3 linked regions of the Anolis sagrei genome follow. The protein of the gene in region 3 interacts with the protein of the main gene of each other region in a biochemical or structural test. Links are inferred from orthologs where the notes say so. Each region holds a gene or a part of one and is shown on either strand. Other genes may lie near its edges.

Region 1 (7,718 bases), on a different chromosome or scaffold from region 3:
CCTTTATTGATTATATCTTTAGCCCAACCAAATAGAAATGGAATTCAATTGTATTCGCTTTGGCACGTGGAGTTAACTACAGGAGAACAAAATGGGGCATTGCCTCCCCATTAATGTTCAGTCTCCCCAATGAGATGGTAGAGAGGCAGAATTGTATAGTGTGTTTGGTTAGGAACCTGGAAGACTAAGGTTCAAATCCCTGCTTAGCCATTGAGACCATGGGTAGGTCCCCCAGTCTCAGTGGAAGGCAATACAACACACACACACACCCTGAATAAAGCATGCCAAGAAAACATGATAGGTTTGCTTATCAGGTTAGAAACTCAACAAAAACAACAAAATTTAAATGTTTCATTGCTGGAAGGGATTTTTCCTGAGGTTTGTTGCTGTTGTTGTCTTTGTTGTGTGCCTTCAAGTGATTTCCAAAGTATGGCAAAGCTTTTACTGGGCATTATTTATTCAGAAAGGATTTGCCATTGCCTTTCTCTGGAGAGAGTTAGATTTGCCCAACATCATCCAATAGTTCTGCAATGCTCCAAAGTAAGTCAATGCTCAGACAACCAAACTATGGTGGCTCCTTTGCCTACATATTTGGCAAGCCAGATCCTATCAGATCTTGGAAGTTAAGCAGGGCCAGGCATGGTTAGCGTTTGGATGGGCAATCGCTGCAGAATAACAAGTGCCGTAGACGATATTTCAGAGAAAAGCTGGAGCAGTTCTATTCTGAATCTTCTTTGCACAAATAATTCTATAAAACGTATGGAACCACCAAAACCACAAACGCATGGAACCACTTTGCATGTTTAGCCTGAAGAAGAGAAGGCTGAGAGGAGACATGATAGCCATGTATAAATATGTGAGAGGAAGCCACAGGGAGGAGGGAGCAAGCTTGTGTTCTGCTTCCTTGGAGACTAGGACGCGGAACAATGGCTTCAAACTACAAGAAAGGAGATTCCATCTGAACATGAGGAAGAACTTCCTGACTGTGGGAGCCGTTCAGCAGTGGAACTCTCTGCCCCGGAGTGTGGTGGAGGCTCCTTCTTTGGAAGCTTTTAAACAGAGGCTGGATGGCCATCTGTCAGGGGTGATTTGAATGCAGTATTCCTGCTTCTTGGCAGGGGGTTGGACTGGATGGCCCATGAGGTCTCTTCCAACTCTTTGATTCTATGATTCTATGAAAAGGTGACAGGTAATTTGAAGGCACATTTTGGGTGTTATAGTTATTCTCCTTTCTACAGCTGGAAAATAAAATCAAAACGTCTAGAACGCCAAATCTCTGAAAACTGGTCTATTCTTGGGGTGCATCTACACTGTAAAATTAATAATAATAATAATAATCTTTATTTGTACCTCGCTACCATTTCCCCAAGGGACTCGGTGTGGCTTACATGAGGCCAAGCCCAAAGTACATCAAACAAAACATCAATAAACACAACATCAATAAACAATCAATAAAATACAAATCATATAAATCACATAAACAAAAAACAATCAATAGTGACATAAACAATTTTTAAAAATGGCCGGGCCAAATGTAATAGATTAAAATTGATTAAAATCAAAGCAGACTATGTACCTGAGTCTACACTGCCATTTAATCCAGTTCAAATCAGATAATCTGGATTTGATTATCTATTATCAAGTCTAGTCTTGGGGTGCATCTACACTGTATAATTAATGCAGTTTTATACCACTTTGACTGCCATTGGTCAGTGCTAGGTAATCTTTTGATACCCCCTCTACACTGCCATATAATCCAGATTATCAAAGCAGACTATCTACCTGAGTCTACATTGCTGTTTAATCCAGTTCAAATCAGATAATCTGGATTTGATTATCTATTTTCAAGTCTAGTCTTGGGGTGCATTTACACTGTAGAGTTAATGCAGTTTGATACCACTTTGACTGCCATGGGTCGGTGCTAGGTAATCTTTTGATACCCCCTCTACACTGGAATATAATCCAGATTATCAAAGCAGACTATCTACCTGAGTCTACATTGCCGTTTAATCCAGTTCAAATCAGATAATTTGGATCTGATTATCTATTATCAAGTCTAGTCTTGAGGTACAGCTACACTGTAGAATTAATGCAGTTTGATACCACTTTGACTGCCATGGGTCGGTGCTAGGTAATCTTTTGATACCCCCTCTACACTGCCATATAATCCAGATTATCAAAGCAGACTATCTACCTGAGTCTACATTGCCGTTTAATCCAGTTCAAATCAGATAATCTGGATTTGATTATCTATTTTCAAGTCTAGTCTTGGGATGCATCTACACTGTAGAGTCAATGCAGTTTGGTACCACTTTGACTGTCATGGGTGAGTGCTAGGTAATCTTTTGAGGCCCCCTCTAAAGGTAGGTAAAGGTAGTCCCCTGACATCAAGTCCAGTCATGTCTGACTCTGGGGTGTGGTGCTCATCTCCATTTCTAAGCCAAAGAGCCAGCGTTGTCCGTAAACACCTCCAAGGTCATGTGGCCAGCATGACTGCATCAGGCCCCCTCTACATTGCCATATAATCCAGATTATCAGTGTGGACTCAGGCCCCTTCTGCACTGCCATATACAATCCACATTATCTGCTTTGAACTGGAATATGTGAGTCTAAGATGTCACATAATCCAGTTCAAAGCAGATAATCTGGATTGTATGTGGCAGTGTAGAAGCGGCCTGAGTTGTAGTTTGGTGAGACACTAGCGCTATTCAGCACAGAAGGCTAAAAGCCTTGTAAAATGGCAACTCCATCCATTCCACAGCATTGAGCCATGGCAGGCAAAGTGGCGTCAAACTACATTAATGTTACATTATACATGTACCCTTGGTCCCAACATTTGGAAAGAGCCAATGCTATGGGTTTGCAAGTTTGCACCAAGTTCAATTTCTCACCTTGGCGTCTTCCTTGCGACAGCGTTCAAAACATCTCCCTTGAAATCCCAGAAGCCCTCCACAGCTTCCAAAGAAGACCAAACATTTGGAGTCTTCTAAGCTCTTGATAAGGGCTTTTTTCATCTGACAAAGTCACTTGTCTACCGAAATGCCCTAATAAAGCCTCTTGCCTGCGTCAGTTCGTGGTTTCCTGCCGACAAGATCAGAAGAGCCAACTGGGAGGACGGCTGATGCTCTCCAGGGTCCAGGGGCCTGTAAAGCAGCCGCCAGGTTCCTTCTGAGCTAATGTTAGCCTTGTGGCCACTTTGGTGGAAAATAACACTTGCCCACAAAGCCTCAATGGACTAGAACAAGCTGCTATTCTGTTTACCATTTTCAAACTGTTCACAGCTATTTTTGACTTCCCTGTATTGACTTCTGTTCATCACCGTCTTGGTCCGCCCCAAAAAATAAGGGCTGGGTCCTACTCAGCTGACTTGCTGAATTACTTAGGCGATCCCTCGTTGTCTGAGTAAGATTGTCCTTAAAGTTCGGTGTCCTGGCGGTGAGTACATAGGTGACTGTGGAGCCCTGTCCTTAACCTGCATGTTCTCCCACAGTGAGGGCATTGGTTTCCAGGTGGAAGGCAGTCCCGGTCGGGGTTGGCTTGACGTGCATTCCTCTTGGCACATTTCTCTCTTTCGCCCTCCAGTCATGCCTTTTCAAATCGTACAGCACTGCTGGACACAGCTGACCTCCAGCTAGAGCACTTCCCAATTCTCGGTGTCTATGCCAGAGTTTTTAAGGTTGGTGTTGAGCCCATCTTTAAATCTCTTTTCCTGTCCTCCAATATTCCATTTCCCATTCTTGAGTTTGGAGTAAAGTAACTGCTTTGGGTGATCGGGCATCTGGACAACGAGGCCAGTCCAGCGGTGTGGATGGCGGAAGACCATCGCTTCAATGCTGGTGGTCTTTGCTTCTTCCAACCCGCTGACATGTGTCTGCCTGTCTTCCCAAAAGATTTGCAGGATTTTCCGGAGGCAGCACAGATGGAATCGTTTCAGGAGTGCATATAGTGTCTATAGATAGTCCACGTTTCGCAGACATATAGCAGGGTTGGGAGGACAATAGCTTTAAAAAGAAGCACTTTGGTATCCCTACGGATGTCCCAGTCCTCAAACACTCTCTGTTCTGTCGCACGCTGGGCCTGTAACAGCTGTACTTTTCTATAGGACGTATACTTTAAGCCCAGCACGAAGCCAGGGGCGCCTCAAAGAGAGATTCTTAGGGATTTTTTTTGAAGTGATGGTCTTTAGAGTCTTTAATGATACAACAAAGTCTTTATTATGGAACAAACAACAAATCTTCAAAGGTTCAAACAACACTTCAAGACTTTAAGTCTAGTCCTCAATGGACTGGCACCTGACTTTAATTAACTAAACTTTCTCTGTAGGAAAACCCCCTTTTAACCTCTCCCAGGCTGCTTTCTATCTATGCCTCATCGGTGTGGGTCCTACTACCGATTCCAAATGCGTCTGGGTATCGAGTAGACCTACCAGCCGAGGCTTGAAGATATTTCAGCTGGAGTTCTGTGGATCTGTAATGCTGTCCTCCCTCCGAGAATTCTTTGAAACTTCAGGGCTGTTTTCCCTCTGTTGCTGTGAGGCTGAGAGGCTGTGAGCTCTCAGCCAGAGCTTCTGGGAACTTTCTCCTGGAATTTCTGTTTCTGTATCCCCGGGCGTTACTTTTCCCTGGATGCTCTTGAGAAAGGAAACTTTTCTACGGGAAGAGCTGGTCTACGTCCTATAGCTTAGCTACCTTGTGTGAAACTGGCCAAAAAATGGCTCCTTTCCCTCCCAGAGCCCAGAACAAGGGGCGGAACCAAAGCTTAATTATGATGGACAGGAGCCCTGCCCTATGATTGCAAACTTTAACAGAAAGAAAATAAGCTTGGAGCTCCTGGTACAGCCGTACCAGCGCACTCTCTGCTTAATTTGGAAAAATGCTGCACTCACAGAGCTCAGGCGATGTTGTATTTCAGTATCAATGTTGACATTTGTGGAGAGGTGGCTGCCAAGGGAGCGGAAATGGTCAACATTTTCTAATGTTACACCATTAAGCTGTATTTCTGGCAATGCAGATGGGTTGGTTGGTGACTGCTGGAAAAATCGCTAAATTATTGAAAACTGAATCAAGACTTATGGTCATCCCATTGAATGAATAGGTTTAATTAGACCAGTAGAATACAGGATTAAATATTTTCCAAGAGTGGTCCTATGCACACTACTTTTCCCTCTCTCAGACGGAGCTTCTGTCTCATTTGTGGCCGCACCTTTTGCAAGGCATTTGGATGAAAACTAAAGGTTGCGTTGGTTCTGACCTTTGGTTCCAACTTCAGTGTGATTTAACCTATATGGTAAAAACAGAAACTCTTAACTCAGATAAGAGAAGGTGATGAGATAACAGCTGATGTGATGAAGTCCAGAAGGAGATGAAGATGGAAGCCAACAACTACCACTGAGAAAACTAATTTTCCTAATATTTGTCGCTTCCTACCTTATTTGAGCACAAAACATCCTTCGCTGCTGCATATTTAAATGGGAAATAATTGTCTTTTCCATTGCAAACACCCTCTCTCAAAGCCTGAGAAATGACAATCCAATCTTTAAATATGTTTCACTTCCCCATCCTCTTGTTCCAATTGCCTTCTTAATTCCTGCGGTCAACTGAAAAGTGTGCCGACAAATTGAAACAGCTGGGTTTGTTCCCCCTTTTATTGCCCTTCCTTGTTAAAGAATGCCCAATTTATGGCCAGTCACTCCCTTTCTCAGGGTGGGATGGCCTTAGCTTGTGGAAACCATTATAGCATGCGCTCAGGGGTCTTGCAGACTCATAAATCCAGAAATCTGTGGGACAAGATCTTATACTGCACTCGCAAAGTTGCAAATCTATGCTCAATGCGATTTCAGAGCAATTGCACCGGACCACTTTTCTGCTGAATATACAGGGCAACAGATTGCATATGCACATATTAGAGTTGCTATATCTCTCTTTACTATAAACAGGCAGGAAAAGAGAGTGCAAATTCTCTATTCTTTGAATCTTTGCAGAAAATCACCATGATTATAGGAGCCCCCGGGGCGCAGTGGGTTAAACCCCTGTACTGGTAGGACTGAAGATGGACAGGTCGCAGGTTCGAACCCAGGGAGAGTATGGATGAGCTCCCTCTGTCAGCTCCAGCTCCTCATGCGGGGACATGAGAGAAGCCTCCCACAAGGATGGTAAAACACCAAAACATCCAGGTGTCCCCTGGGCAATGTCCTTGCAAATGGCCAATTCTCTCACACCAGAAGCGACTTGCAGTTTCTGATACAATTAAAAAAAACCATGCTTATGCATATATATATGAAATGCTTATATGGCACAGCTAGTTAGTGCATTAAATCACTACTGACCGAGAGATCATGAGTTTGAAGCCAGTCCAGGTCGGAGTAAGCTCCCGATCATTAATAATCTAGTTTGCTGTTGATCTATGCAGCCAGAAAGACAGTTGCATCTGTCAAGTAGGAAATTTAGGTACTGCTTTAACTAATTTAACCAATTTAAATTACTAATTTAACTAATTTACAACACCATAAAACCTTCCAGCAGCGTGCGTAAGAATAAGGAAGTACTCTACAAGGACTCGTTGCCCTCGTTGCTTCATAGAAAATCTGCTACAAAACAGGAGCTTTTTGATGAGTTCTAGGGCCAGAGAAGCAGATGACAAAAACAGAAGAATGGCCTGCCTCAGGGGAGCATGCTTGCTCCCTCGGTGTTTAATATTTACACAAATGACCACCCCCTGCCAAAAGAGTTTCATCTATGCAGATGATGGTGCCATCACCGACCAAGCAGGGAGCCTTGAAATTGTTGAACAGAAGTTCTCTGAAGCTTTGGGTGCTCTTATTTCCTATTACAGGGAAAACCAGATGATTCCTAATTCATCTAAAGCATAGATGTGAGCTTTTCAATTTAAGAACAGACAAGCATTTCAAGCTCTGAGGATTACCTGGGAAGGAATCCCACTGGAGCATTGCAGCACACCTAAATATCTGTGAGTTACCCTGGACTGTGCTCTGACTTATAAGAAGCACTGCTTGACTAACAACCAAAAAGTGGGCACTATAAATAATATCATACAAAAACTGACTGGCATAACCTGAGGATCACAACCAGACACAGTGAAGACATCTGCCCTTGAGCTGTGCTACTCTGCTGCTGAGTATGCATGTCCAGTGTGGAACACATCTCACCATGTTAAAACAGTGGATGTGGCTCTTAATGAGACATGCCACATTATCACAGGATGCCTATGCCCAACACCATTGGAGAAATTATATGTTTAGCCAGTATTGCACCACCTGACATCCACCGGGAAGTAGCAGCCAATAGTGAAAGGACCAAGGCAGTGACATCTCCAACCCATCCCCTGTTTGGATATCAGCCAGCACACCAATGCCTTAAATCAAGAAATAGCTTCTTCTACAAAGATGCTCACAGGAACACCTCAGCAAGCGAGAGTCCAAAAGTGGCAGGCTAAAACCTGGAAGGTCAATCCATAGTTGATGCCGAATGAGAGACTACCTCCTGGGCACACAGAAGACTGGATGACTTGTAAGGTGCTGAACAGACTGTGCTCTGGCACTACGAGGTGCAGAGTCAAACCTTAAGATGTGGGGCCACAAAGTGGAGTCCATGACATGCGAATGTGGAGAAGAGCAAACCACAAACCACCTATTACAATGCAACCTGAGCCTGCCACATGCACAGTGGAGGACCTTATTACAGTGACACCACAGGCACTCC
Region 2 (7,313 bases), on a different chromosome or scaffold from region 3:
ATTTACTGTCTTAATTCTGATGTTTTTTTTTTTTATTCTGGTAGCCAGATTTTGTTCATTTTCATGTTTTCTTCCTTTCTGTTGAAATTGTCCACATGGATTTCAATGGCTTCTCTGTGCAGCCTGACATGAAGTCTAAAATTTCCATATTCTCAAACAATATACTGTGTTCAGGTTGGTTCATCAAGTGCTCTGCTATGGCTGACTTCTCTGGTTGAATTAGTCTGAAGTGCCTTTCATGTTCCTTGATTCGTGTTTGGGCAATGCTGCGTTAAGTGTTCTCCCTGTAGACTTGACCACAGCTGCATGGTATGCGGAAGACTCCTGCAGAGGTGAGAGGATCCCACCTGTTCAGGAAACAATCAGGGCCAGCTAACACCTCCCAACAAAGGATTCCCCATGCAAGAAGCAACCAGGTTTTGAAGCTGCAAGGCTATTCAATGTCAATCAAGGCGGCCAATTGCAACATTCACACTTGCTTCAAACAGACGAGGGTTCTTTCTCCCACCCTGGACATTATTCTACAGACACACACACACACACACACACACACACATATATATATGCATACACATACACGCTCCATTTGCCTCACTCACCAGCAGCAGAACCTCTGAAGATGCCATTAGCCACAGGTGCAGGCGAAACATCAGAAAATAATGCTAGTGGAACATGGAATGCTGTGATTTCTAAAAGTCAGCATGGATTTCTCAAAAGCAAGTCATGCCAAGCTAGTCTTACCTCTTTCTTTTTTTTTCTTTTTTTTTTTGATAGTTACAAGCTTGGTAGATGCAGGGAAAGCTGTGGACTTAGCATACCTTGATTGCAGGAAGGCCTTTGACAAAATCCCCCATGACCTTCTTGCAAACAGACTAGTCCAATGAGGGCTAGCCAAAACTATGGTTAGGTAGATCCGGAATAAGTCAAGCAACTGAACCCAAACGTGATTCTCCCCAATGGTTCATCTTCTTCATCCTGGAAAGAAGTGACTATTTGGGTGCCATAAAGAAGGTTCTGTTCTGGGCCCAGTTCTGTTCAACATCTTTATTAATTACTTGGGATGAAGGTTTAGAGGGTAGGCTGATCAAGTTTGGAGATGGGACCAAATTGGGAGGGGGAGCTAATACTACAGAAAAAAGGATCAGGAAGCAAAAGTACCTTAACAGATTAGAAAGCGGATTGGCCAAAACTAACAAAATGCATTTCAACAAGGACAAATGTAGGCTACCACACTTAGGAAAAGATTCAGGATGGGTGATGCCTGGCTCAACAATAGTCCAGGTGAGAAAGATCTTGGAGTCTTCGTGGACAACAAGTTGAACATGAGACAAGAGTGTGATGCAGCAGCTCAAAAAGCCAATGGGATTTTGGGCTACATCCAAAGGAGTCTAGTGTCTAGATCGAGGGAAGTCATGGTGCCTTTGTATTCAGCTTTGGTCAGACCTCTTTACCTGGAATACTGTGTCCAATTCTGGGCACCACAGTTCAAAGCAGATACTGACTCTAAGCTGGAAGGTGTCCAGAGGAAGAGGGCGAGTAAAAGGATCAAAGGTCTGGAGACCATGAATAAACTCTTTGAGGGGCGTCTTAAAGAACTGGGTCTGTTTAGCCTGCAGAAGAAGAGAAGGTTGAGAGGAGATGTGAGAGCTATGTTTACATACATGAAGGGGTGTCATAGGAAAAAGGAGTAGGCCTGTTTTGAGACTGGGACTCAGAGCAATGGGTTCAAACGACAGGAAAGGAGATCCCACTTGAACATTAGGAAGAACTTCCTGACTGTAAGAAGAGCTGTTCAGCAGTGGAACTCTCTGCCTTGGAGTTCAGTGGAAGCTCCTTTCTTGGAGGCTTTTAAACAGAGCCATCTGTTTAAAAGCCATCTGTCAGGGATACTTGGTCACTGTAAATTATCTTGTATCTTAATGCTTTTTATTCATTAGATTTATACTTGTAAGTATGTCTGAAGTGTTATATTATGTATATTTCTTAATTTTGTAAAGTTCTTAATTTTGGTTATGTTTGGGTTGTCACTATAAGTTTATATTGATGTTGCCCGAGTCCCTAAGCCGCCCCGAGTCCCTTTTTGGAAGAAGATGGTGGCGGGATATAAATGAAGTTATTATTATTTGTTTTCAATTTGATTTGTTGCCTGTTTGTTTTTTTGGCATTGAATGTTGGCCAGCTTTGTTAGAAACCGCCCTGAGTCCCCTCAGACAGATAGGGCGGGTTACAAATGAAGTTATTATTATTATTATTATTATTATTATCACTTTGTGTGTTTCCTGCATGGCAAAATGGGGTTGGACTGGATGGCCCATGAGGTCTCTTCCAACTCTAGGATTCTATTTCTCTCTTTCCTTCTCTGGCCTTTCAACAGAGGCTGGGTGGCCATCTGTCGGGGCTGCTTTGATGGTGCTTTTCCTGCCTGGCAGAAGGGGGTTGGAATAGATGGCCCACGAGGACTCTTCCAACTCTACTATTCTAGGATTCTCTCTCTCTCCTTCTCTGGAGGCCTTTCAACAGAGGATGGGTGGCCATCTGTCGGGGCTGTTTTGATGGTGCTTATCCTGCATGGCAGGGGGTTGGACTAGATGGCCCATGGGGTCTTTTCCAACTCTATTATAATTCTATGATTCTCTGGCCACATAGCCCGGAAAACTCACAGCAAGCCAGTGATTCCGGCCATGAAAGTTTTGGACAACACATATGATTGCTGTCCTTTCTTCTTCTCTTTGCAGGGCGGGGGGGGGGGGGGGGCACAGGAAGAGCCAAAGGGGCGGAGCTTGGTGCTACCCCCCCTTCTGCTATCCACCCCCCTCCCTCCCTCCCTCCCTCCCTCCCTCCCTCCCTCCCTCCGCTGGGCCTACCTCCGGGAGGTCATTTTCCCCGCCAGCGTTGTCCTCCGAGGGGGGCCCGGGGGCCTCGCAGGGGGAAAGGCGACGCCCACGAGCCGGGCCAGCCGCGGGAGCCGAGCGGGAGCCAGCCACACACAGGCCAGCGGCGCTGCACCCGCCTCCGCGCGTCATCCCCCGGCGACGCCGCCTCAAGCCCCGCCCACCCCCACCCCCTCCCCCACCCCAACATCCGGGACACTCCCGCCAAACTCAGCCTCTGACTTCGTTGGTTAGGGGGAAAACAGACCCGTGTGCTTTATGTTCTCGTTGGTGTCAGAAGCGAATCGAGAATACAGTGATAATGTATTTAAAAACCACAGACAAAGTTAGAAACTTGGCATTGTCCCAAATGTCCTTTGACCAGGGGCTGCCCACTTGGAGTGCCTCTGGTGTCGCTGTGAGAAGGTCCTCCATTGTGTATGTGGCAGGGCTCAAGCTGCATTGTAGTAGATAGTCTGGATTTGCTCTCCTCCACACTCGCATGTCGTGGACTCCACTTTAGCCCCATTTCTTCAGCTTGGCTCTTATTGTTATATTTATTTACACCCCACTTTATCTCCCCAAAGGGGACTCAAAAGTGGCTTGACATAAAAGCATTGGTATCCAATTGCAAATATACAAACATTAAAACAGAATTAAACACAAACAGCTAAACATTAAAAAAACCAAGATTATGGCAACAAGAATGATTGACAACTGGAAAATAGAGGGAGAAAATGTGGAGGCCGTGACAGAGTTTGTATTCCTAGGCGCAAAGATTACTGCAGATGCAGACTGTGGCCAGGAAATCAGGAGACGCTTACTTCTTGGGAGGAGAGCAATGTCCAGTCTCGATAAAATAGTAAAGAGTAGAGACATCAGACTGGCAACAAAGATCCGCCTAGTCAAAGCCATGGTATTCCCTGTCGTAACCTACGGATGTGAGAGCTGGACCTTAGGGACGGCTGAGCGAAGGAAGATCGATGCTTTTGAGCTGTGGTGTTGGAGGAAAGTTCTGAGAGTGCCTTGGACTGTGAGAAGATCCAACCAGTCCATCCTCCAGGAAATAAAGCCCGGCTGCTCACTGGAGGGAAGGATACTAGAGACAAAGTTGAAGTACTTTGGCCACATCATGAGGAGACAGCAAAGCCTGGAGAAGACAATGATGCTGGGGAAAGTCGAAGGCAAAAGGAAGAGGGGCCGACCAAGGGCAAGATGGATGGATGGCATCCTTGAAGTGACTGGACTGACCTTGAAGGAGCTGGGGGTGGTGACGGCCGACAGGGAGCTCTGGCGTGGACTGGTCCATGAGGTCACGAAGAGTCGGAGACGACTGAACGAATGAACAACAAAAAAAACAAACAGCATTCAAAATTTCAGATCAAAACCATCAAAACATTCAAAGTTAAAAATCATTGCACTTCTTTAAGGTTCTTGATTGGTCTTGATAGGAAATGCCTGCATTTAATGTTTTTATAGCTCAATTGTGTCTCAAACTGGCAGTGAGATACAGAGTTTCATCTATGCTGACGATCGTGCCATCACCACTCAAGCAGGGAGCTTTGAAATGGTTGAACAGAAGCTCTCTGAAGCTCTAGGTGCTCTTACTGTCTATTACAGCGAAATCTGGCTGATTCCTAATCCATCCGAAACGCAGGCATGTGCTTTTCACCTTAAGAAATCCCACTAGAGCATTGCAGCACGCACAAATACCTGGGAGTTACCCTGGACCAAGCTCTGATTCAAAAGAAGCACTGCTTGACTATCAAGCAAAAAGTGGGCTCTAGAAATAATATCATAGGAAAGCTGACTGGCACAACCTGGGGATCACAACCAGACACAGTGAAGACATCTGCCTTTGCAATTCGCTACTCTGCTGCTGAATACGCATGCTCAGCGTGGAATAAATCTCATCACATTAAAACAGTAGATGTGGCACTGGAGAAATTATACTGCTTAGCTGGTGTTGCACCACCTGACATCTGTCGGGAAGTAGCAGCCATTAATGAAAGGACATCTCTGGCCTGTCCTCTGTTCAGACATCAGCCAGCAAGCCAACACCTTATATCAAGAAACAGCTTCCTAAGATCTACTCACAGGAATACCTCAGCAAGCAATAGTCCAAAAGTGGCAGGCTAAAACCTGCAACTTGAATCATTGGTTGAGACTGGGTGAGAGACTCCCTCCTGGGCACATAGAAAACTAGACGACTTGGAAAGTGCTGAACAGGCTGCGCTCTGGCACTACGAGATGCAGCAACAATCTTAAGAAACGGGGCCACAAAGTGGAACCCACAACATGCGAGTGCGGAGGAGAACAAACCACACTGACTATAATGCAGTCTAAGGGCCCTTCCAGGCAGGCCCTATATCCCAGGATCTGATCCCAGGTTTTCTGTTTATCCCAAATGATCTGGCAGTTCGGACTCACGTAATCCGATTTAAGGCAGAAAACCTGGGTTGAGATCCTGGGATATAGGGCCTATCTGGAAGGGCACTTTGTCTGTAGTATTTTACACATTATAAGTGTATTCTCAATTAGCTTCTGACACCTTTAATAACATCAATCGGCTATCGTCCAGAGCGCCATCTGTCGGACGTTCGAGGCTTTCCGGCCAGCGCGCTGACGTCACGTCACTTACTCCCTTTAGTGCCGAGTTCCCGGATGTTGCCTCCTTTTTTGCTCCATCTCGGAAGGTAAGGATGGCGGCGGCGCGGCTCTTCTCCGTTGAATCTCGGTGTTGTTATCCGCGGCCATCCTCCACACAGGAGCGCCGCCCGGGAGGCGGGGAGGCACCGAGAGCTTCGGGGATGTCTAGCGGGAGGCGAGGGGTTGCTATTTTGGGAGTGGAGAGCGGGAAGGCGTCGCCCTGCAGGATAGGCCGCGCTCGGAGCCATTGAGTTTGTCTTTTTAGGGACAGTTTTGCCTTACGGCAGGCATGGTCAAACATGGGCCCATGCCTGCTTTACGGGGTAAACCTGCATTTGAACCTCATCTCTTGCAAAGCTTCCATTTGAACTTCTATATGATAGGCCTGCATTATTTTCGTGTCTTTTAGCCTTAGGCCTGTGTCTTGGAATCCTATATATCTTAGGTGGATGTATCTTCAGATACATGATGCTGGTCATTGACCATGCTTGTAAGCTGCCTGTAGAATCCCATGCAGTTGATCTGCTCAAGCTCCATGCAGGGCAATGGTGGGAGTTGTAGTTTGGGGAGCTGCCAGCCCTTGAAGCCCTGGCCAAGCTACAACTCCCAGCCTTCCCTAGCATTGCACATATAGATGTATATGTAGATTTTATATATGTGTGTGTGTGTGTGTGTGTATATATATATATATAAAATAAAATGTATCATGTAATATGTAATATATATTACATGTAATACACATTCTACATTGTAACATATATGTATATAACATATGTAGATATATAACATATATAATAAATAATACTTTATACAATGCAATGTTACATGTGTATGTAATATATGTAGGTGTGTGTGTATATATTATGTAGCCGCTTTACCTCTCCTTGGAGAGAGAAATAGGGTATAGATAAATACACATATATTTGTATTGCATTGTATATGTTATATTTTTATATACCAGGTCCATGATGTCAGAGATTTGGCTGCAGAAAGAGCCAGACTGGCCCATGGAGTTGGTTGTGCAATGTGGGACCAAGGTTGAAGGGTAACTTTGGGCCAGGCTGCTTTGAATTTTGGACTAAACGTTGCTGTCTTTTGGAGACAGGATACTGATTGTTTACTGCCTGGAGTCCTTAAATGGGGAGAAAAGCAGGATTAAAATGCAATACATCGATATTGAATGGGGCTTATGGAAAATTTTGATTGTACTTTGTTTAGATTTGGCTTCCAACTCCAGCTAAATAAAGACATCTACATTTTGGGGACAAAAAAACCCCCAAGTGCTTCTGGCTCAAGCATTTTGGGAAAGGGGCATTTAAGATGTACTACTTTGAATACATAGGACTAATATTTTCCAAGATAAGGATGCTAGGTTGAACTCTCTAGCATAGATATTTGCAATATACACATTTCCCCCTGCCTCAAACTGACTTGAAGCCTTCAGTCCACAATTGTGTAAGTTCAAAAATGCTTCCCAGGCTGGATCTATGCTGCCCTATATATATTCCAGGATATGATCCCAGGTTATTTGGCAGTGTAGACTCATGATCCATTTGAAAGCAGATAATCTGGGATTGGATGCTGTAGGGCAATGGGGGGAGGGGAGGGGCAGTCCATCCATAGTCACTTTGGGTTTTGTCCCTGTGCATCATTGCGAATTATGTCCTTTAGAAAGTTTCTATGATCAAATCTTCAGCTGTCAGCGATTCTATCTTTTTCCAATATTGTGCATATATACCATTCTTGCTCCAGTTGATGTGTACTGTAATGTTTGGTCACATCTGTATCCAAATT
Region 3 (7,910 bases):
TATCTTTCTGTACCAAAATGCTGGTCCCTCCCCAAACTACAATTCCCAGCATTCCATAACATTGAGCAAATTCAATTACAGGAGTATCATAATTCATTAATTGGAACAGTATTGAAATTTTGCAAGGTGTTTAGTATTCTATACCAAAATGCTGGTCCAGCCCCAAACTACAATTCCCAGCATTCCATAACATTGAGCAAATGCAATTTACAGGAGTATCAAAATGCATTAATTGGTAAAGTATTGAAGTTTTACAAGGTCTTTAGCTTTCTGTACCAAAATGCTGGTCCCTCCCCAAACTACAATTCCCAGCATTCCATAACATTGCGCAAATTCAATTGCAGGAGTATCAAAATCCATTAATTGGGTCAGTATAAACCCTGAGCCTTTAGTGTTGCATGTAATGAACAAAGGGATAATGCATACATGGAGGTGAAGGTCATCATAAATAAATCAGAAAAGACTTGGAGGAACACACACTAAAGCATTCCATAGCAGTGAAAGTGGTGTCACACCACATGCCTTCTATAGTGTAGATGCAAACTTTTTCTTCAAAAGAAGGAGCACCCAACTCCTCCAGCTCAAGACAAACACAGTGCAAAGGCAGCCAAACCTATGAGTGTGAAACTTATCTCTGGAGTATGCTACTATCTCCACACGTCCCTAAACCGAAGCGAAACCAGATAAGGCTTGTTCCCTGTGGATTGCAGCAATACAGATTGTAAGGGCGGGGTTGGCCAAGGCAATTGATTGATTTATTGATTGGGGACCTTGCAAGAGCTTTCTTTCTAGGAAGGAGGCACACTATCTCCAACCAAAGGCATTCATTAACCAAGGCAGAGCCCAGCAGGGTTTTGTTTACTTCTGAACTGCAATCTCAGCCAATCCAATTGGAAAGTGATCTGAGACCCCATTTCTCAAGATTTCCAATCCCCCAGCGGATGGGAACCACTTGCACAACAGCTTTGCTTTCTCTCTCCTGACTCCTGGACTGTTTTGACATGCAGATAGGGAACAAATGTGCTTTGACACCACTTTAGCAACTAGGGCATAATGCAAGGGAATCCTAGGAAGTTGGGGAGTTTTGCAAGGTCTTGACCAGGCATTAGGAAACTTGGGGCCCTCCAGGTGCTTTGGACTTCAACTCCCACCATTCCTAACAGCCTCAGGCCCCTTCTCTTTCCCTCTCAGCCGCTTAAGCTACAAACTACGATTCCCAGCATTCCATAGCATTGAGTAAATGCAATTAAAGGAGTATCAAACTAGATTAATTGGGACAGTACTTAAACTACAAACTACAATTCCCAGAACTCCATAACATTGAGCAAATGCAATGAAAGGAGTATCAAACTAGATTAATTGGGACAGTACTGAAGTTTTACAAGGTCTTTAGCTTTGTGCTGGTCCCTCCCCAAACTACAATTCCCAGCACTCCATAACATTGAGCAAATGCAATTAAAGGAGTATCAAACTAGATCAATTGGGACAGTACTCCATAACATTGAGCAAATGCAATTAAAGGAGTATCAAACTAGATCAATTGGGACAGTACTGAAGTTTTACAAGATCTTTAGCTTTCTATACCAAAATGCTGGCCCCCTCCCCAAACTACAATTCCCAGCACTCCATAACATTGAGCAAATGCAATTAAAGGAGTATCAAATTAGATCAATTGGGACAGTACTTAAGCTACAAACTACAATTCCCAGCACTCCATAACATTGAGCAAATGCAATTAAAGGAGTATCAAACTAGATCAATTGGGACAGTACTTATGCTACAAACTACAATTCCCAGCACTCCATAACACTGAGCAAATGCAATTAAAGGAGTATCAAACTGCATTAATTGGGACAGTATTAAGGTTTTACATGATCTTTAGCTTTCTGTACCAAAGTGCTGGTCCCTCCCCAAACTACAATTCCCAGCACTCCATAACATTGAGCAAATGCAATTAATGGAGTATCAAACTGCATTAATTGGGACAGTATTAAGGTTTTACATGATCTTTAACTTTCTTTACTAAAGTGCTGGTCCCTCCCCAAACTACAATTCCCAGCACTCCATAACATTGGGCAAATGCAATTAAAGGAGTATCAAATTAGGAGTATCAAATTAGTACTTAAGCTACAAACTACAATTCCCAGCACTCCATAACATCGCGCAAATGCAATTAAAGGAGTATCAAACTGCATCAGTTGGGACCTTATTAAAGTTTTACAGGATCTTTAGCTTTCTGTACCAAAGTGCTGGTCCCTCCCCCAAACTACAATTCCCAGCACTCCATAACATTGAGCAAATGCAATTAAAAGAGTATCAAACTGCATTAATTGGGACAGTATTAAAGTTTTACAGGATCTTTAGCTTTGTGTACTAAAGTGCTGGTCCCTCCCCAAACTACAATTCCCAGCACTTCATAACACTGAGCAAATGCAATTAAAGGAGTATCAAACTGCATTAAGCGGCTGTGGGGGGAAAGGAAAGGGCCTGAGGCTGTGAGGAATGATGGGAGTTGAAGTCCAAAGCACCTGCAGGGCTCAAGTTTGCCCATACATGGTCTATATTGAACATACAATGCAATGTAGATCTAGCCAAATTGTCCCTGCCCTCTTTCCACAGTCCTCAAATCTCATTTTTTTGCTTGTGTCTGTTTGTAGGAACCCAAACAATGCAACTTGGACTTACCTTCGGTGGCCCAAACCCTGGGCAGAACCGATCCCAGGAGGAACCCCAAGCCAAGCCAACCGGGGCTGAGAAAGGGCCCCATTGTTTTGTCATGACCAAGCCCGGCTCATCCTTCCAAACTTGGCTGGAGGAGTTCCTTCTTCTTTTCCAAATCCTTTCCTCCGAATCCAGCCCGATCGGTTGGTTTGCCTTTGCAAGAGCTTGCTCGTCCCACTTTCCTTCCCGATCCCAACTTCACAACTCCGACTTTTTGCTTCCCACTTCCGCGAAGGGAAAGGAGAGAAAGAGAGAAGCCACCACCTTCTTTCTCCTCCAACCTTGAGCGTCGGGAACGCGCGCGGCGCGCCCCCGAGGAGGAATCCGGCTCACGCTGCAAAGCCATTCATTCCACTTTGGGACACACTTTGGAAGAGGCCAAGTTGAGCACTGCTTTCACTGCCACGACTCAGGACTCTTCCACACAGCCCTATATCCCAAGGCAAGAAATCCCACAATATCTGAGTGTGCAGGATCTATATCTCAGGATCTCATCCCAGGTTTTCTCTGGCAGTGTGGACTCATATAATCCAGTTTAAAGCAGAAAACCTGGGATCATATCCTGGAATATAGGGCCTGTCTGGAGGGACCCTCAGATAACTATAGGCCAGTGGTTCTCAACCTTCCTAATGCCATGACCCCTTAATCCACTTCCTCATGTTGTGGTGACCCCCAACCATAAAATTAGTTTCATTGCTACTTCATAGCTGTCATTTTGCTGCTGTTATGAATAGTAATGTAAATATCTGATATGCAGGATGTATTTTCATACACTGGACCAAACTTGGCACAAAGACCCAATATACCCAAATTTAAATACTGGTGGGATTGGAGGAGGGTATTGATTTTGCCCTGTGGGAGTTGTAGTTGCAGGGATTTCTAGTTCACCTACAATCAAAGAGCATTCTGAACTCCACCAATGATGGAATTGAACCTATCTTGGTACACAGAACACCCATGACCAAGAGAAAATACTAGAAGAGTTTGGTGGGAATTGAACCTTGAGTTTTGGGAGTTGTAGTTCATCTACATCCAGAGAGCACTGTGGATTCAAACAATGATGGATCTGGGCCAAACTTGGCACGAATTCTCAATATGCCCAAATGTAAACACTAGTGGGGTTTAGGGAAAATAGATTTATATAGTTCACGTATAATCAAAGAGCATTTTGAACCCTGCCAACGACTGAATTGGGCCAAACTTCCCACACAGAACCTCCATGGCCAACAGAAAATACTGTGTTTTCTTGTGGTCTTTGGTGACCCCTCTGACACCCCCTTGTGACCCCTCCAGGGGTCCCAACCCCCAGGTTGAGAAACACTGCTATAGGCCCTTCTGCACAACCTTATATCCCAGAACATCAAGGCAGGAAATCCCACATTATCTGACTGTGGACTCGGATAACCCAGTTATTGTGGGATTTTCTGCCTTTCTATTCTGGGATATAAAGATGTGAAAAAGGGCCCTTAGTTATCTGAGTTATGATCACAGGTTTCCTGTTTATCCCAGACTAGCCGTCCCCTGCCACGCGTTGCTGTGGCCCACATGGGGGTTCTGTGGGAGGTCTGGCCCAATTCTATCGTTGGTGGGGTTCAGAATGCTCTTTGATTGTAGGTGAACTATAAATCCCAGCAACTACAACTCCCGAATGTCAAGATTTTATTTACCCCAAACTCTACCAGAGTTCGCATTCGGACATATTGAGTGTTTGTATAGAGTTTGGTCCAGGTCCATCATTGTTTGAGTCCATAGTGATCTCTGGATGTAGGTGAACTACAACTCCAAAACCAAAGGGCACTGCCCACCAAACCTTTCCAGTATTTTCTGTTGGTCATGGGAGAACTGTGTGCCAAGTTTGGTTCAATTTCATCATTGGTGGGGTTCAGAATGCTCTTTAATTGTAGGTGAACTATCAATCCCAGCAACTACAGCTCCCAAATGACAAAATCATTTTTTTAGTGAAAGACATACATTGGGTTGTTAGGTGTCTTGTGTCCAAATTTGGTGTCAATTCATCCAGTGGTTTTTGAGTTCTGTTAATCCCACAAATGAACATTACATTTTTATTTATATAGATGTAATATTCCTAATAATATTACGATATAGTGGTATGGTGCAATATAGCAATGTTTAATGCTGATATTGTACTGTGCTAATAATATAATATATTGTATGTATATAATATATGCCTTGTAAGCCGCTCTGAGCCCCCTTCGGGGTGAGAAAGGCGGCATATAAAATTTGTAAATAAATAAATATGCTAACACAATTTTTGTTCCTAGGTTATAAATGTAATTTCCTATCATTGGTTCTATCATAAAAACATGGGGAAAGTTTATTAAGTCCTGCAGTACATTTTGCTATAATTTTTCAATGGTATTATATCTTGGTATTATACCTTCTAATATATCACGCCTGCTGGTACCAATATAATAAAATCAAAATCCCGCTGGACACCAGTTTAGAGGATCTTAATTGCTAATTAAGTTTCAACCAATTCAACATAGCTTGTGTCAGCCACAAAACACACATTTGGAGGAGGGCCAATGTGGTCCCAATCTTCAAGAAGGGAAAAAAGGATGACCCAAACAACTACCGTCCGGTCAGCCTCACGTTGATACCAGGCAAGATTCTGGAAAAGATTATTAAGGAAGTGGTCTGCAAACACTTAGAATCAAATGCGGTCATCGCTAATAGTCAACATGGATTTATCAAAAACAAGTCATGCCAGACTAATCTGATCTCTTTTTTCGATAGAGTTACAAGCTGGGTAGATGCGGGGAATGCCGTGGATGTAGCGTACCTGGATTTCAGTAAGGCCTTCGACAAGGTCCCCCATGACCTTCTGGCAAGGAAACTAGTCCAATGTGGGCTAGGCAAAACTACGGTGAGGTGGATCTGTAATTGGTTAAATGGGCGAACCCAGAGGGTGCTCACCAATTCTTCCTCTTCATCCTGGAAAGAAGTGACAAGTGGAGTGCCGCAGGGTTCCGTCCTAGGCCGGGTCCTGTTCAACATCTTTATTAATGACTTAGATGAAGGGCTAGAAGGCAGGATCATCAAGTTTGCAGACGACACCAAATTGGGAGGGATAGCCAATACTCCAGAGGACAGGAGCAGGATTCAAAACGATCTTGACAGATTAGAGAGATGGGCCAAAACTAACAAAATGAAGTTCAACAGGGGCAAATGCAAGATACTCCACTTAGGCAGAAAAAACGAAATGCAAAGATACAGAATGGGGGGTGCCTGGCTTGAGAGCAGTACGTGTGAAAAAGATCTTGGAGTCTTTGTGGACAATAAGTTAAATATGAGCCAACAATGTGATGTGGCGCAAAAAAAAGCCAATGGGATTTTGGCCTGCATCAATAGGAGCATAGTGTCTAGATCAGGGGTCCTCAAACTAAGGCCCGGGGGCCAGATACGGCCCTCAGAGGTTATTTACCCGGCCCTCGCTCAGGATCAAACTAAGTCTGAAATGACTTAAAAGCACACAACAACAACCACAACAGCAACAACCCTATTTCATCAGCCAAAAGCAGGCCCACACTTCCCATTGAAATACTAATAAATTTATATTTGCTAAAATTGTTATTTATTTTAATTATTGTATTGTTTTAAAGTGTTTTTTGCACTACAAATAAGATATATGCAGTATCCATAGGAATTCATTAATGTTTCTTCAAATTATAACTCGGCCCTCCAACAGTTTGAGGGACTGTGACCTGGCCCTCAGTTTAAAAAGTTTGAGGACCCCTGGTCTAGATCTAGGGAAGTCATGCTACCCCTCTATTCCGCTTTGGTTAGACCACACCTGGAATATTGTGTCCAATTCTGGGCACCACAATTCAAGAGAGATATTGACAAGCTGGAATGTGTCCAGAGGAGGGCGACTCAAATGATCAAGGGTCTGGAGAACAAGCCCTATGAGGAGCGGCTTAAGGAGCTGGGCATGTTTAGCCTGAAGAAGAGAAGGTTGAGAGGAGATATGATAGCCATGTATAAATATGTGAGAGGAAGCAACAGGGAGGAGGGAGCAAGCTTGTTTTCTGCTTCCTTGGAAACTAGGACGCGGAACAATGGCTTCAAACTACAAGAGAGGAGATTCCCTCTGAACAAGAGGAAGAACTTCCTGACTGTGAGGGCCGTTCAGCAGTGGAACTCTCTGCCCCGGAGTGTAGTGGAGGCTCCTTCTTTGGAAGCTTTTAAACAGAGGCTGGATGGCCATCTGTCAGGGGTGATTTGAATGCAATATTCCTGCTTCTTGGCAGGGGTTTGGACTGGATGGCCCACGAGGTCTCTTCCAACTCTTTGATTCTATGATTCTATGATTTCTGGAATATAACAACTACTTTCAAGGTAAATACCGCACAATTAAACAGGAAATAACACTTTCAAACCAGGAACAGAATTTTTTTCAAATTTTGTTACATAGTGTAATGAGAAATGAGGAAAACCACAATGAGGATGGATTGAGTCAATCACGGAAGCCAAATCCCTGAGTATGAGGAACCTGAGCAGGGCTATAGGTCACTGAACTCATTGACATCCTGCATCCATAAGGTCAGTATAAGTTGAATCTGACTTGACAATAACTTCGGCTTCAGTTGATTCACTGCTTAAACAAATGTTTCATCTTGGTTACTTCAATCAAGTGGATATACTTGAACATTGCCAAAACATGGGCGTAAGTGGTTTTCCGAGGAACTGAAAGAAGTGGGGAAACATTACTGTTTAGTCAACAAATGTTACCATAGTACTTGTTCGGAACAGGGGTGGAAACATACCAGGTTTCAAGCAGCTGAAACACAAAACATGCCGTTAGCTTTCTTTTCTCTTTATTGGTTTTTATTCAGAATATAATACAATACAGAAAAACATTTCTTCATAATAGATATAAAACTATTACAACATAAATAATTCCAGCACTAATAAAAACATATTGAACACACAACTACTATGACTATTCTATGAAACACACACTCATTGTCAGTTGATTTTTACTCGTTTTCCAACTTTTTTTAGATAACACTATATCAATGTTTCTCAACCTTCCTACTGCCGCAATCCCATAATACAGTTCCTCATGTTGTGATGACCCCCAGCCATAAAATTATTTTCATAGCAAAACTGTAATTTTGCTACTGTTATGAATCATAATGTAATATCTGATATACAGGATGTATTTT

What was found. The genes of interacting proteins can lie anywhere in the genome.
Region 1: the proteins of ERBB2 (region 3) and BLK form a complex in vitro, tested with the Homo sapiens proteins (2 studies listed by BioGRID and IntAct, with this or other methods). The link is inferred for Anolis sagrei from reciprocal best matches to the Homo sapiens genes ERBB2 and BLK.
Region 2: the proteins of ERBB2 (region 3) and PTPN11 form a complex in vitro, tested with the Homo sapiens proteins (2 studies listed by BioGRID and IntAct, with this or other methods). The link is inferred for Anolis sagrei from reciprocal best matches to the Homo sapiens genes ERBB2 and PTPN11.

What each region holds. Positions count from the first base shown.
Region 1 is NC_090021.1:10,031,960-10,039,677, reverse strand, and holds the start of BLK (tyrosine-protein kinase Blk), read right to left. Parts: upstream 3,018-7,718; 5' UTR 3,015-3,017; coding exon 2,892-3,014; intron 1-2,891. UniProt on the Homo sapiens protein: Non-receptor tyrosine kinase involved in B-lymphocyte development, differentiation and signaling. B-cell receptor (BCR) signaling requires a tight regulation of several protein tyrosine kinases and phosphatases, and associated coreceptors.
Region 2 is NC_090034.1:30,299,989-30,307,301, forward strand, and holds the start of PTPN11 (tyrosine-protein phosphatase non-receptor type 11), read right to left. Parts: upstream 3,018-7,313; 5' UTR 2,879-3,017; coding exon 2,865-2,878; intron 1-2,864. Other genes in the region: RPL6 (large ribosomal subunit protein eL6), read left to right, coding at 5,819-5,842. UniProt on the Homo sapiens protein: Acts downstream of various receptor and cytoplasmic protein tyrosine kinases to participate in the signal transduction from the cell surface to the nucleus. Positively regulates MAPK signal transduction pathway. Dephosphorylates GAB1, ARHGAP35 and EGFR.
Region 3 is NC_090026.1:42,798,714-42,806,623, forward strand, and holds the start of ERBB2 (receptor tyrosine-protein kinase erbB-2), read right to left. Parts: upstream 3,021-7,910; 5' UTR 2,768-3,020; coding exon 2,686-2,767; intron 1-2,685. UniProt on the Homo sapiens protein: Protein tyrosine kinase that is part of several cell surface receptor complexes, but that apparently needs a coreceptor for ligand binding. Essential component of a neuregulin-receptor complex, although neuregulins do not interact with it alone.